Ovis aries: one gene and its partners. The protein of the gene in region 3 purifies or fractionates together with the protein of the main gene of each other region. This does not show direct contact. Links are inferred from orthologs where the notes say so. Each region holds a gene or a part of one and is shown on either strand. Other genes may lie near its edges.

The links.
Region 1: the proteins of ARRDC3 (region 3) and ITCH purify together in Homo sapiens (co-immunoprecipitation; 5 studies listed by BioGRID and IntAct, counting the BioPlex papers as one, with this or other methods). This does not show direct contact. The link is inferred for Ovis aries from reciprocal best matches to the Homo sapiens genes ARRDC3 and ITCH.
Region 2: the proteins of ARRDC3 (region 3) and ADRB2 purify together in Homo sapiens (affinity purification with western blotting; 6 studies listed by BioGRID and IntAct, with this or other methods). This does not show direct contact. The link is inferred for Ovis aries from reciprocal best matches to the Homo sapiens genes ARRDC3 and ADRB2.

Annotation. Positions count from the first base shown.
Region 1 is NC_056066.1:63,837,511-63,841,166, reverse strand, and holds part of ITCH (E3 ubiquitin-protein ligase Itchy homolog), read right to left. Parts: intron 1,197-3,656; coding exon 1,022-1,196; intron 1-1,021. UniProt on the Homo sapiens protein: Acts as an Acts as an E3 ubiquitin-protein ligase which accepts ubiquitin from an E2 ubiquitin-conjugating enzyme in the form of a thioester and then directly transfers the ubiquitin to targeted substrates.
Region 2 is NC_056058.1:58,016,008-58,019,121, reverse strand, and holds ADRB2 (beta-2 adrenergic receptor), read right to left. Parts: upstream 1,798-3,114; coding exon 541-1,797; downstream 1-540. UniProt on the Homo sapiens protein: Beta-adrenergic receptors mediate the catecholamine-induced activation of adenylate cyclase through the action of G proteins. The beta-2-adrenergic receptor binds epinephrine with an approximately 30-fold greater affinity than it does norepinephrine.
Region 3 is NC_056058.1:88,494,378-88,498,033, forward strand, and holds part of ARRDC3 (arrestin domain-containing protein 3), read right to left. Parts: exon of another isoform or gene 3,476-3,656; intron 2,261-3,475; coding exon of another isoform or gene 2,179-2,260; intron 2,081-2,178; coding exon 1,999-2,080; intron 120-1,998; coding exon 1-119. UniProt on the Homo sapiens protein: Adapter protein that plays a role in regulating cell-surface expression of adrenergic receptors and probably also other G protein-coupled receptors.

The DNA of each region.
Region 1 (3,656 bases), on a different chromosome or scaffold from region 3:
AATTTAGCCAGGTATACCCAAGATGATTATAATTTAGAAAGGAAGGAAGATGTAAAACAGCACTGGGAAAAAAAAAGAAAACTGTAAGGTAGATGAGACAAAAATTAATTTCACTTCTAAAACCACTGGGAAGGGGAAAACATTGACAGCTGTCTACAGAAGTTGGCAGGAAAAATTGTTACATGAAAGAAAGTTATCTTAGTCATAACCAGGTGGTGAAGCGAAAGCTGCTGAGCAAGGTGCAAATTTATCTACATTGGTGAGTGGTAACTATTATGATGACAAAGTCCAAGAAACAGAAATACGGAGAAAAGGCAAAAAGGTAATGCCTAATGAGAACAGGAATTTATTTTGATGGATTCTAACAGAGATGATACTGATGGCAGTAGAAGGGAAGAGACGGCAACGGAGAGGGTCAACTTCTCTTGAACTCTTGGTGAGTTGGTTTACATAAATTTAAAAGATTTCCAGAAAGGAGACATTTTGATACCAAAGATAATATGGCTTCAAAGTCATAATAATATATTTAACATAATTCTATAAGCAATCAAACTTTAGTCTTCTCAAGCACTAAATAGTGTATTGTGTAAATTTTACCTTTACATGTTACAAAATGATTCAATTCTATCATGAGTTTCACTTGAGTCAGGTGCTGTTAGACCCAAACAGTCTAATGTTCTGCTAAGCTAGGCAGTATTAAATTCAGAACTGTTTGAATTCTTTTTACACTGCTTGGATTTATTTTTATCATTCTTTTGTAAATAAATTTTAAGTTGTCGGAACTTCTTTTCTGCCAGTAACAAAGCAAAGGAAGTTGAACTTAAGGAAATTTTAAAAAGAAAAGAATAAATCACCTACACAGACTATGGGAAACAAGATGGAAAAATAATAATATCATCAATAGCAACAACTGGGTTGCCATCTTATTTGTACTTTCTTTTTAGTGCTTTACATTTTATATGTAAGAAAAGGTTAAAACTCAACCCTCATTAAGGTTATAAAGCCAAGTACATATGCTCACCCCATAAATGAACCTCTGGTTAAATTGCTGCATAGCTCCCTGAAGTTGACTACGCTGGAGCTGCCATTGTTCATAGTTTCGGACGGATTCCAATGTTGGCCTCTGCCACGTTGTTGTTCTTGTGAAATGGTCAACATAATAAATACGTCCCATGTTGTCAACCCGCCGCTCCCAGCTATATCAAGATAAAAACAACTGAATTCAACAAATATTTGTGAAACTGTTAAGAACTAAGTGGGACTTCATTTTAGCCCTGGTACAGATTTGGCAAGACTTTACCTTACACAGCTACTTTTCAGTTACCTGAAGTCTTTTATAAGTATGTACTTTATTGGGAACGCATGTACACCCATGGGGATTCATGTCAATGTATGGCAAAACCATACAGTATTGTGAAGTAAAATAAAGTAAAAATAAAAGAAAAAAAAAAAAAAAAAGAAAAAAAAAGTATGTACTTTACAGTTTTTAAAAAACTTATTTACTTATTATTTTTTGGTTGCACTAGGTCTTTGTTGCTGTGTAGGTTTTCTCTAGGTGCAGAGTGGGGGCTACTTTCCAGTTGCAATGCGTGGGCTTCTCCTGTTGTGGAGCACGGGCTCTAGGGTGTGCGAGCTCACCAGAGCTCAGGAGTTGTAACATGCAGGCTCAGTAGCTACGGCTTGTAGGGTTCTAGAGCACGGGCTCAGTAGTTGTAGCACATGAGCTTAACTGCTCCAAAGCATGTGGACTCTTCCTGGACCAGGGATCAAACCCATATACCCAGCACTGCAGACTCTTATCCACTGTATCACCAGGGGGGACCTTTTATATATTTTTAAATGGTCTATAAATGAACTTAAAAGGAATGTATATAAAAATCTCTTTCTTAAAAGTTAAGATGTATCAGTCAGGTTTCTAAAACAATGTATCTTAACTGATTAAATTGCAAATCAGTAAGACAAAAGCTCTCATTTTCTTTGTTTGAAATGTTCTTTTCACTGTTGCAATCCTAATAGGAACAGAAATATACGTGAGAGCCAGAGAGTGCAAGTGCTTTTCACGGATGTCAGGAATAGCACTTTTGCTCAAGAAGAAAACTATTTTATTTATCATTTGAAATGGATGCATAACATTCAAGGAAACATTGATAAAGTAACTTGATGTCTACCTGGCTGATAGTTTGGGGTTATGTCTATTAGTTTAATATTATCCAGAATTGGTTCCAGGACACTCCTTGGGTACTCAAGTCCCTCATATAAAATAGCAAGGCTTTGCATATAACCAGGCACATCCTCCCATATACTTTAAATCATTTCTAGGTTACTAACAATACCTAATACAATGTAAATGCTAAACAACTGTCAACATAACATTAATGTTACGTAAACAGTTGCCAGGGCGTGGCAAATTCAGGTTTTGTCTTCTGGGACACCTTAAAATTTTCCCCCAATATTTCGATCTATGCATGCAGGCCAACTGTGGTAAAATAATTAATACCTTTTATGTATTGAAAATTTTTTTCTTCCTTTGCATTACTTCTTTAGGATGCATTTCCTGGAGAGGGTTACTAAGGGTATGGGTATTGCTACAGTTATATATACTTTCTGTGAGAGCTGTAACTACTTTAGACTACCACCAGCAACATTAAGAGGCAAAGCTCCCCTACAATTTCGCCAAAACTGGATATTATATGTTAATTTAACACACAAAACACCTTTTAGGTGTTTATTTAAGATTACTAGCAAGATTAAATATTTTCATGTATTTATGCCTGGCTTCCCTCAAATAAAAATATTTTCTTCCTTCCAATTATTTTATATGTTAAATGATTAACACCATATATCAATATATCCCATTTAATATTAATATTTCTCCAAATATCTTATAATGACTTTGCTATTATGTATTAGCTTTTATAAGAACTTTACCATAAATATGATAGGGTCTATAATTCTTACTCAGTTAAAAAAAAAACTAACCCTGTTGTACAGCAGAAACTAATAACATTGTAAAGGAATTATCCTCCCGTGAAAAAATATTCTATGATAAACCATAATTGAAAAGAATATTAAAAATAACATATATAACATAATCACTGTGCTGTACAAGGGCTTCCCAGGTGGCTTAGTGGTAAAGAATCTGCCTGCAATGAAGGAGATCCAGGTTCGATCCCTGGGTGGGGAAGATCCCCTGGAGGAGGAAATGGCAACCCACTCTAGTATTCTTGCCTGGAAAATCCCGTGGACAGCAGAGCTTGGCAGGCTACAGTCTTTAGGGTCACAAAGGGTCAGACATGACTGAAGTGACTTAGCAGCATGCTGTACAATAAGAATTAACAGCACTGTAAATCAACCATACGTTAATAAAAATAAATAAGGAGGAAAAAACCCTCCTTTTAAAACCCTGCAGTTTGAGCCAGGTAAGTTCACAAAGTAAACTTAGGGAATCTTTCTTTAGGTCAGAAATGAGTGAAAATAAACATATTTCATCATGGTCAATCAATTCCCCAGAATCTCTTTTCAGTCTGCACCCATCATAAAGCAAAGTAGATAGAAACGAGACTGACAGAAGAGGAAAAGGAGGAAGGCAGGGAAATTTTGTATAGGTGTAATCTATGCTATGTGAGTGTTAAGTCGCTTCAGTCATGTCTAACTTT
Region 2 (3,114 bases), about 30 Mb from region 3:
CAATTTATTTACTGTAAACTTTAGACTTTGCTCAGAAAAACAACCAAAGCTGCCCCTCAAGTCCCTGCCTACAACACCCCGTTTGAGCAAATAAGAGGGGCGAGGAGAGTCCATGTTCACAGCGAAAGGTCCGAGAGACTCAATATCTTCCAGTCCAAGGGTGCAGGAAGGAAGGTCTCCTTCAGATACAAATTACCAGCAGCAATATATTACCCCTAATACTTGATCAATGAGGTAGATATGCAGGAAAAGTCATCAAAACATAGCAGCCCCAGGTTCTTTGAGACTGAAGCCCTTCAGACATAAACTTAACGAGTTCCAGGCAAAGAGGAACTGAACTGTACAAGAAACAGTTACTCAAATATATTTTGTCACAACTTAAAAAAATAAAAAATAAAAAGGCAGAAGGATATGTTTCCTCCTGCACATCTCTGTACAACTTTATTCTAAATTTATTACACTCAAGTTAAATAGTCTGTTTAGTGTTTTGTTGCAGGGAACCGGGGAGAAGGGGTGTCTTAAAAAGTAGAAAAACCTGCATTACAGCAGTGAGTCATTTGTACTACAATTCCTCCCTTGTGAATCAGTGCTATCACTGGGCACAGTACCTTGCTGGTTCACAAAGTTTTCGGTGCCTGGGGGGTCTTCACACAGCAGTTCACTGTCTTTCTCCTCCCCCAGGTGATATCCACTCTGTTCCCCCGTGTAGTCAGTCCTGTCATTGCTGGTGCTGGAGCAGCCATTCCCATAGGCCTTCAATGAAGACCTGCGCAGGCAGAGAAGCTCCTGGAAGGCAATCCTGAAATCTGGGCTCCGGCAGTAGATAAGGGGATTGAAAGCGGAGTTGATGTAGCCCAACCAGTTTAGAAGGATGTAAATTTCCTTAGGGATGAGGTTATCCTGGATCACGTGCACAATGTTGACAATGAAGAAGGGCAGCCAGCATAGGGTGAAAGTGCCCATGATAATGCCTAAAGTCTTGAGGGCTTTGTGTTCCTTCAAGTAGAACTTGGATGTCCTGCGTTGTCCTAGACCGCTCCGCCCATCCTGCTCCACTTGACTGACGTTTTGGGCATGGAAGCGGCCCTCAGATTTGTCGATCTTCTGGAGCTGCCTTTTGGCTACCTGGAACACCCTGGAGTAGACAAAGACCATGACCACCAGGGGAAGGTAGAAGGACACAATGGAGGAGGCAATGGCATAGGGTTGGTTCGTGAAGAAGTCACAGCAGGTTTCCTTAGCATAGCACTTGATAGCTTCCTTGTGGCTGGCCCGGTACCAGTGCATCTGAATGGGTAAGAAAGAGGTAAGGCCAGACACGATCCACACCATCAAAATGACCACCCGGGCCTTATTCTTGGTCAGCAGGCACTGATACTTGAAGGGTGACGTGATGGCAAAGTAGCGATCCACAGCGATCACGCACAGGGTCTCAATGCTGGCCGTGACGCACAACACGTCAATGGAAGTCCAAAACTCACACCAGAAGTTGCCAAAAGTCCACATTTTCATGAGGATGTGGCAGGCCCCAAAGGGCACCACTGCCAGGCCCATGACCAGGTCAGCACAGGCCAGGGAGGTGATGAAGTAGTTGGTGACCGTCTGCAGACGCTCAAACTTGGCAATGGCTGTGATGACTAGCACGTTTCCAAACACGATGGCCAGGACAATAAGCGACATGAGGATGCCCATGCCCACCACCCAGGCCTCGTCCCGTTCCAGCGTGCCGTCTTGGTCCGGCGCGTGGCTTGCGTTGGGCGCCAGCAAAAAGACGCTGCGGTTCCCGGGCTGCCCCATGGCGCGCAGGCTGGCAGGTGAGCGCACAGGCTGCCGGCGCACCAGCCGCCCTCAGCGAGCGGACCTCCGGCGGGGCGCTGCGGGCAGCAAGCGAGCACCTGGAAGACTCATTCAGCGGCCGTGGGTGGGTGCGGGTGTGGTAGGGGTGCGTGGTGCACTCAGCTCCGGGGGTACTCTGGACTCGCAGTGCCGGGCAGTTTCAGCCAGTTCCAGCTTGCGCTCTGGAGAAGCCGTCTCTGAGTGCGCGCTGTCCGTTATGTGACCAGGACTTTAGGGGAACTGCCCTCCCCGTGACGTGCTAGAACTTTCAACCAATAGAACGCGGGAAGCCCCAAAGGGGCGAGGCCCACGCCCTCTCCCGCCCCTTCCCTCCCCTCTCCTGCCTGCTCCTGGGGCTGGCCCGGGCGGGACCCAGCTGCTCTAGCAGGGCGGGTCGGCCACCATTCCCTCGGGGCTCCCTCGGCTGGCCCCGGAGGCTGAAGCCGGCTCTAGCGAGCTTACCAGCCAGCTAGAAGGTGCCGGTTCTTTGGTGGGCGCTACCTGTCTGCCTGGGGCGGCTGTGCGGCTTGAGGTCTCAGGGCAGATGGCAATACTCCGGCACTTCCTCGCATTAGATGAGCGTGCCCACCGAGACACGCACAGGCAGGCACATTGTACCCCGACATACATGCTCAGACTTATACGGAACCACAGCCACAGACACTCAGACACACCCATCCAGCGCACCAACGAGTGCTCAGGCACAGAAGCCGACTGGCACAATCACCCCTGTCCAGCACGATCGACATGGCCAGGAGCAAACCAGGAGCACCCAGAAGCATAAAGACACCGACATACAGACAAAAAGAAGTAAACAAACGGCATACAAACGCCCACTTGGAGGCAAGCAGTGTGCCACAGAGAAGGACTTCCCCATCCGGATATTCCAAACTCTTTACCCTTGCCCCCTGGACATCCCCCCCATCTTCCCCAATACACAGGTCTCATGGCATATTCCCTTTCAGACATTTGGCAAGACCACAGGTGGTGACTTTAACAGCAGCCAACTTCCTCAGCATGCTTGCTGTCCAGTACTTTTGGTGCCCTCCTTGGAAATTTGCAGGGATTGAGACCTAATTTTACTCTTGGGATTTCATTTGGAGCTGGGGTATACGTGTATGTGCTTGGGGATAGGAAGAGAAGGTTGTATGCTTTAATTCTTAATTCTAGGGAGTGTGGCATTGTTCCTTCCTTATCTGTTAAAATGAGAATATGTTGAAAATGAAATAATTTTCAAGTTCAACTTCTTCAATAATCCCTTTGCAACGAGAAAAATCT
Region 3 (3,656 bases):
GCTCAAAGACTGTAAATTCCTTCTTTAATTTTACTGGTAGAAGCCAAGGCCTGTGCAATTCGGCTTTCACCCAATAGCGCACACTGCCATGTCGGCCTTCGAATGAGGTAGCAAGTGGTCTGTGCAGAATATAAAGATCATATATTAATCTTACACCTCTGTTTAATTAATTATACAGTAGGTCAGCATAGAAGTGTTAATATATTATATGTTTATACACCAATGAGGTATCGAAGGTGTAATTTATATTTCCAAAGGGAGAAATCATGGGGGGGGGGGGGAACCTTCCAAATAATAAAATAGATAATTGTCAAATAGTGCAGAAATTTGGTTAAAAAAAGCCAGACGAATACAATTGCTTTAAACTAAGAAGAGGCTACTTTTAATGCTGGTGGCAAAATTATCAAAGTCTGGAAATGAACAGTTTTTGAAAAGGTCAAGACTTTAGTTTAAAAATAAAATTAAGAATGGTTTAACTATTTCTCTTGAGAAATTCTAGACTCTGGTTAAACATTCAGACCAAACTCCCTATGGTGCTCCATTTTTCATTAGCTAAAAATTACTATTTCCTATTATAGCAACTAATTAAGATCCAGAAAAGGTCTGGAATAGTCATTATGGCTTCAAAAGCTTTTTACATTTCATTAAGTCCACTAATCTCTTAAAAAATGCTTTCCATTTCCTAATTTTGGCCATGTTTTCTAACTACATTATAGACTTAAAAAGAAGGAGAATTTCTTCTGTTGACCTGTTATCAAAAGAATCAGAATTCTTCTCAACTCTGATTTTATTATTTGTGGAAGATTTTATTTTAGTGTATTTAGTCTCCTTTTCATAATTTCATCAGAAAAATGCACAAGGTTCATTTATTTACAAGGTAGAGTGCTAGTTTTTTTGAGGAGTAGCGGTGTTTACTTTTTGTTTTACATTTTAGACTTCTGCTTAATTTGTATAGCACAGAGAAATAAAATGCAGGATCTATTCAAGACTTCTACAGTTTATTTTAAATGACTGTGGCTTATTGAAAGAATTAAAATATATATTTATATTAAATTACCTTCATCCTTTGAAAATATTCAGGCCCAACTGTATTAGCCCTATTGTATTTACAAACTTAAAATATTTCTCTTAGAAAGTAATTAGGGTATTATATTAAAAATGTTCTTAAGCAATATGATACTCTGAAAAATACTCCTTATGAACTCTATCCATATATAATAAGTACTAGAATTAAAGAACACAGAATTATGTACATTTGGCACTTGACAAAATCTTCTGTAATGCAAGTTTATCTTTCAGAACAAACATTACAAGTACCACTTTGCATGCTTTAATATCTGTTAAGGCATTATTTTAAAAACTGCTTTTTGTATAATTTCCTCTAATACATAATTATTACATTATGAATATTTTACTTTCCTTCTTCCTTTCATACTATATTCCAGGCCTTACATTAAGATATCTGATTGACATTTCCTTTTAAGTCTAGGTCGCAATATCTCTTGTGTGACATTCTCAATAGCTCCTTGCACAGAAGCTAATGAATTCATATCATAAACACACAGTACTTCTAAAATTAGGATATTCCTAATTATTTTTACCTTCTTAGTGTTGGTTAAGCATCAGTAGAAAGGACAGAACACTTAACTTTTATAAACTACTAAATGACAGACTTGATATGATCTTTTTTCCAGCTAATGCTGATGGTGAACTATTAGGTGCTTACCATTTGACTAGCACCTTCCAATTCATTCACTTTAAATGAAATACTTTTAAACATCATACAAATCCTGAGACAGAGTATTAAGAATTGAGATTTGCTTTCTATAATTTTGCCACTCTAGATTAAAAAATAGCTTTTTTTTAGTATATTGTTTTCCTCTAGCAAGTTTCAGTAATGAAAAGGGTTTTTTTAAACTAAAAATATTTAAATATACAATGTTTCATTTTAAAAGAAAGGATGTTTATTTGAAAAACGCCTGTTAACAAAATACTTACGTCTGTGGAAGCTCGAAGCTGAATGCATATTCATGCCTTCCTGAATGAACAGTGTTGAAGCCTTCTTCCGAATTATCGTCATCTAAAACAGAAAACAAAAAATTTATTAATAAACCTTCACACTCTCTTCACGATGTCAGAACTTAAAAGATGCTCACATAGTTAAATAAGGCCACAAACTTTGGAGTGTGAGAGATCTGAACTCTAATTCCAACTTCATCACTTCTGGGTAAAATAAAACTCCTGTCTTCAGCTGGTTCATCTGTAGAATGGGGATAATTAATATTTATACCCCATAAGTGATTTTTTTAATGGAAAACAACCTAAACTGCAAAGCATCTTCAGCTAACATCCTACAGGCTAAGACTCAGACCTCAAATCTCATACTAAGATGTTACCTTTGTCTTCAACCATTTACTTAAATTTATCCTAATAAGCCTACATATAAAATGAAAACTATTCACGTAAACCTTTAAAAAAATATCAGTTTTGATACGGAAAATATGAATGTGAAAACTCAAACGATTAGAAAACTGCTAAGTAGATGTTGGGAGTTAAAAAAAAAAAAAGGAACAGTGATTTTAATGTCGGTTTCATAGTCAAAAATAAAAATTGTTACTGAACCTAAAATTATGACCTCAGTCTAATAGCTAAAAATTCACATATATATGATGTACCTTAGACTTAAAATGTGCCTGCTTAACGGGAAAAAACAGGTCATACATCCTTGAAAAATGAAGATAAGGATGTTCCCCAGTGCTAGGGAAAAAACAGGATGACCTTTGATTTTACATCCAATTTCTTTTGATGAAATAGGTTATTTTTCAAACTATCTAAAAAAAAAAAAAACCCTCAGGGAAATACGGGAGGGGGTTCTGGATTCTTGACATGCTTTTCTGAAGCGTTCTAACTAGGTAATTTAATTACATAAATGTCTACTAACGCAGCTTCCTCGGTGTAGAAACCTTTATCATTAAATAGGCTGTCAGAAACGGGTATTATCATTTAACTTTCCCTCAAAAAAGTAATAAATACACACACAAAAAATGATGCTTCCCTCAGAGGGGGGAAAAAAAGATGCCTATATGTGGATACCTTTTATTCAATAACCATCACGACTCAGTCTTGTCACCATTATTTTGTTCTTCTCCCCCCACCCCCGTGCAAATTCTCTCTCCTGGATTTCGGCCCTGAAAGCGGCTGATGAGTTGGGGGACATTTAAAACCGCTCCCTCCTGAAGGCGCCCAAAGTTTGCCTCCCTGTCTCTCCTTTTCTTCCCTTCTCGCTCCCTTTTTGTGCCAGCTCAGCAGTCTCATTGAGGCGAGCGGCGGCGGCGGCCGCGCCGTGGTAAACAAGTGCCGGGCTGTCAATCAAGAACTAGACCGGAGCAGGAGAGGACCGGCCTAAACCGGCGCGAGCAGATCCCAGCCGGCCCGCCCGCGCGCCGCCGCCGCCCGCGCGCCCCGCTATACATACGGCATATGTCGCGCGGCGCTCGCACTCGCGCTCGCACAGCCTAGCCTGCTGGCGGCGGGAGGGGGCGGGGCCAGGGCGCCGCAGCGCTTCCGCTTTACACGCCCCAGCCGGTGACCGGTTCGATCTGGCTCGGGCCACCCTGACACCTTTAAATTTGCAGCAAAGGAAATAGGGGTGGGGG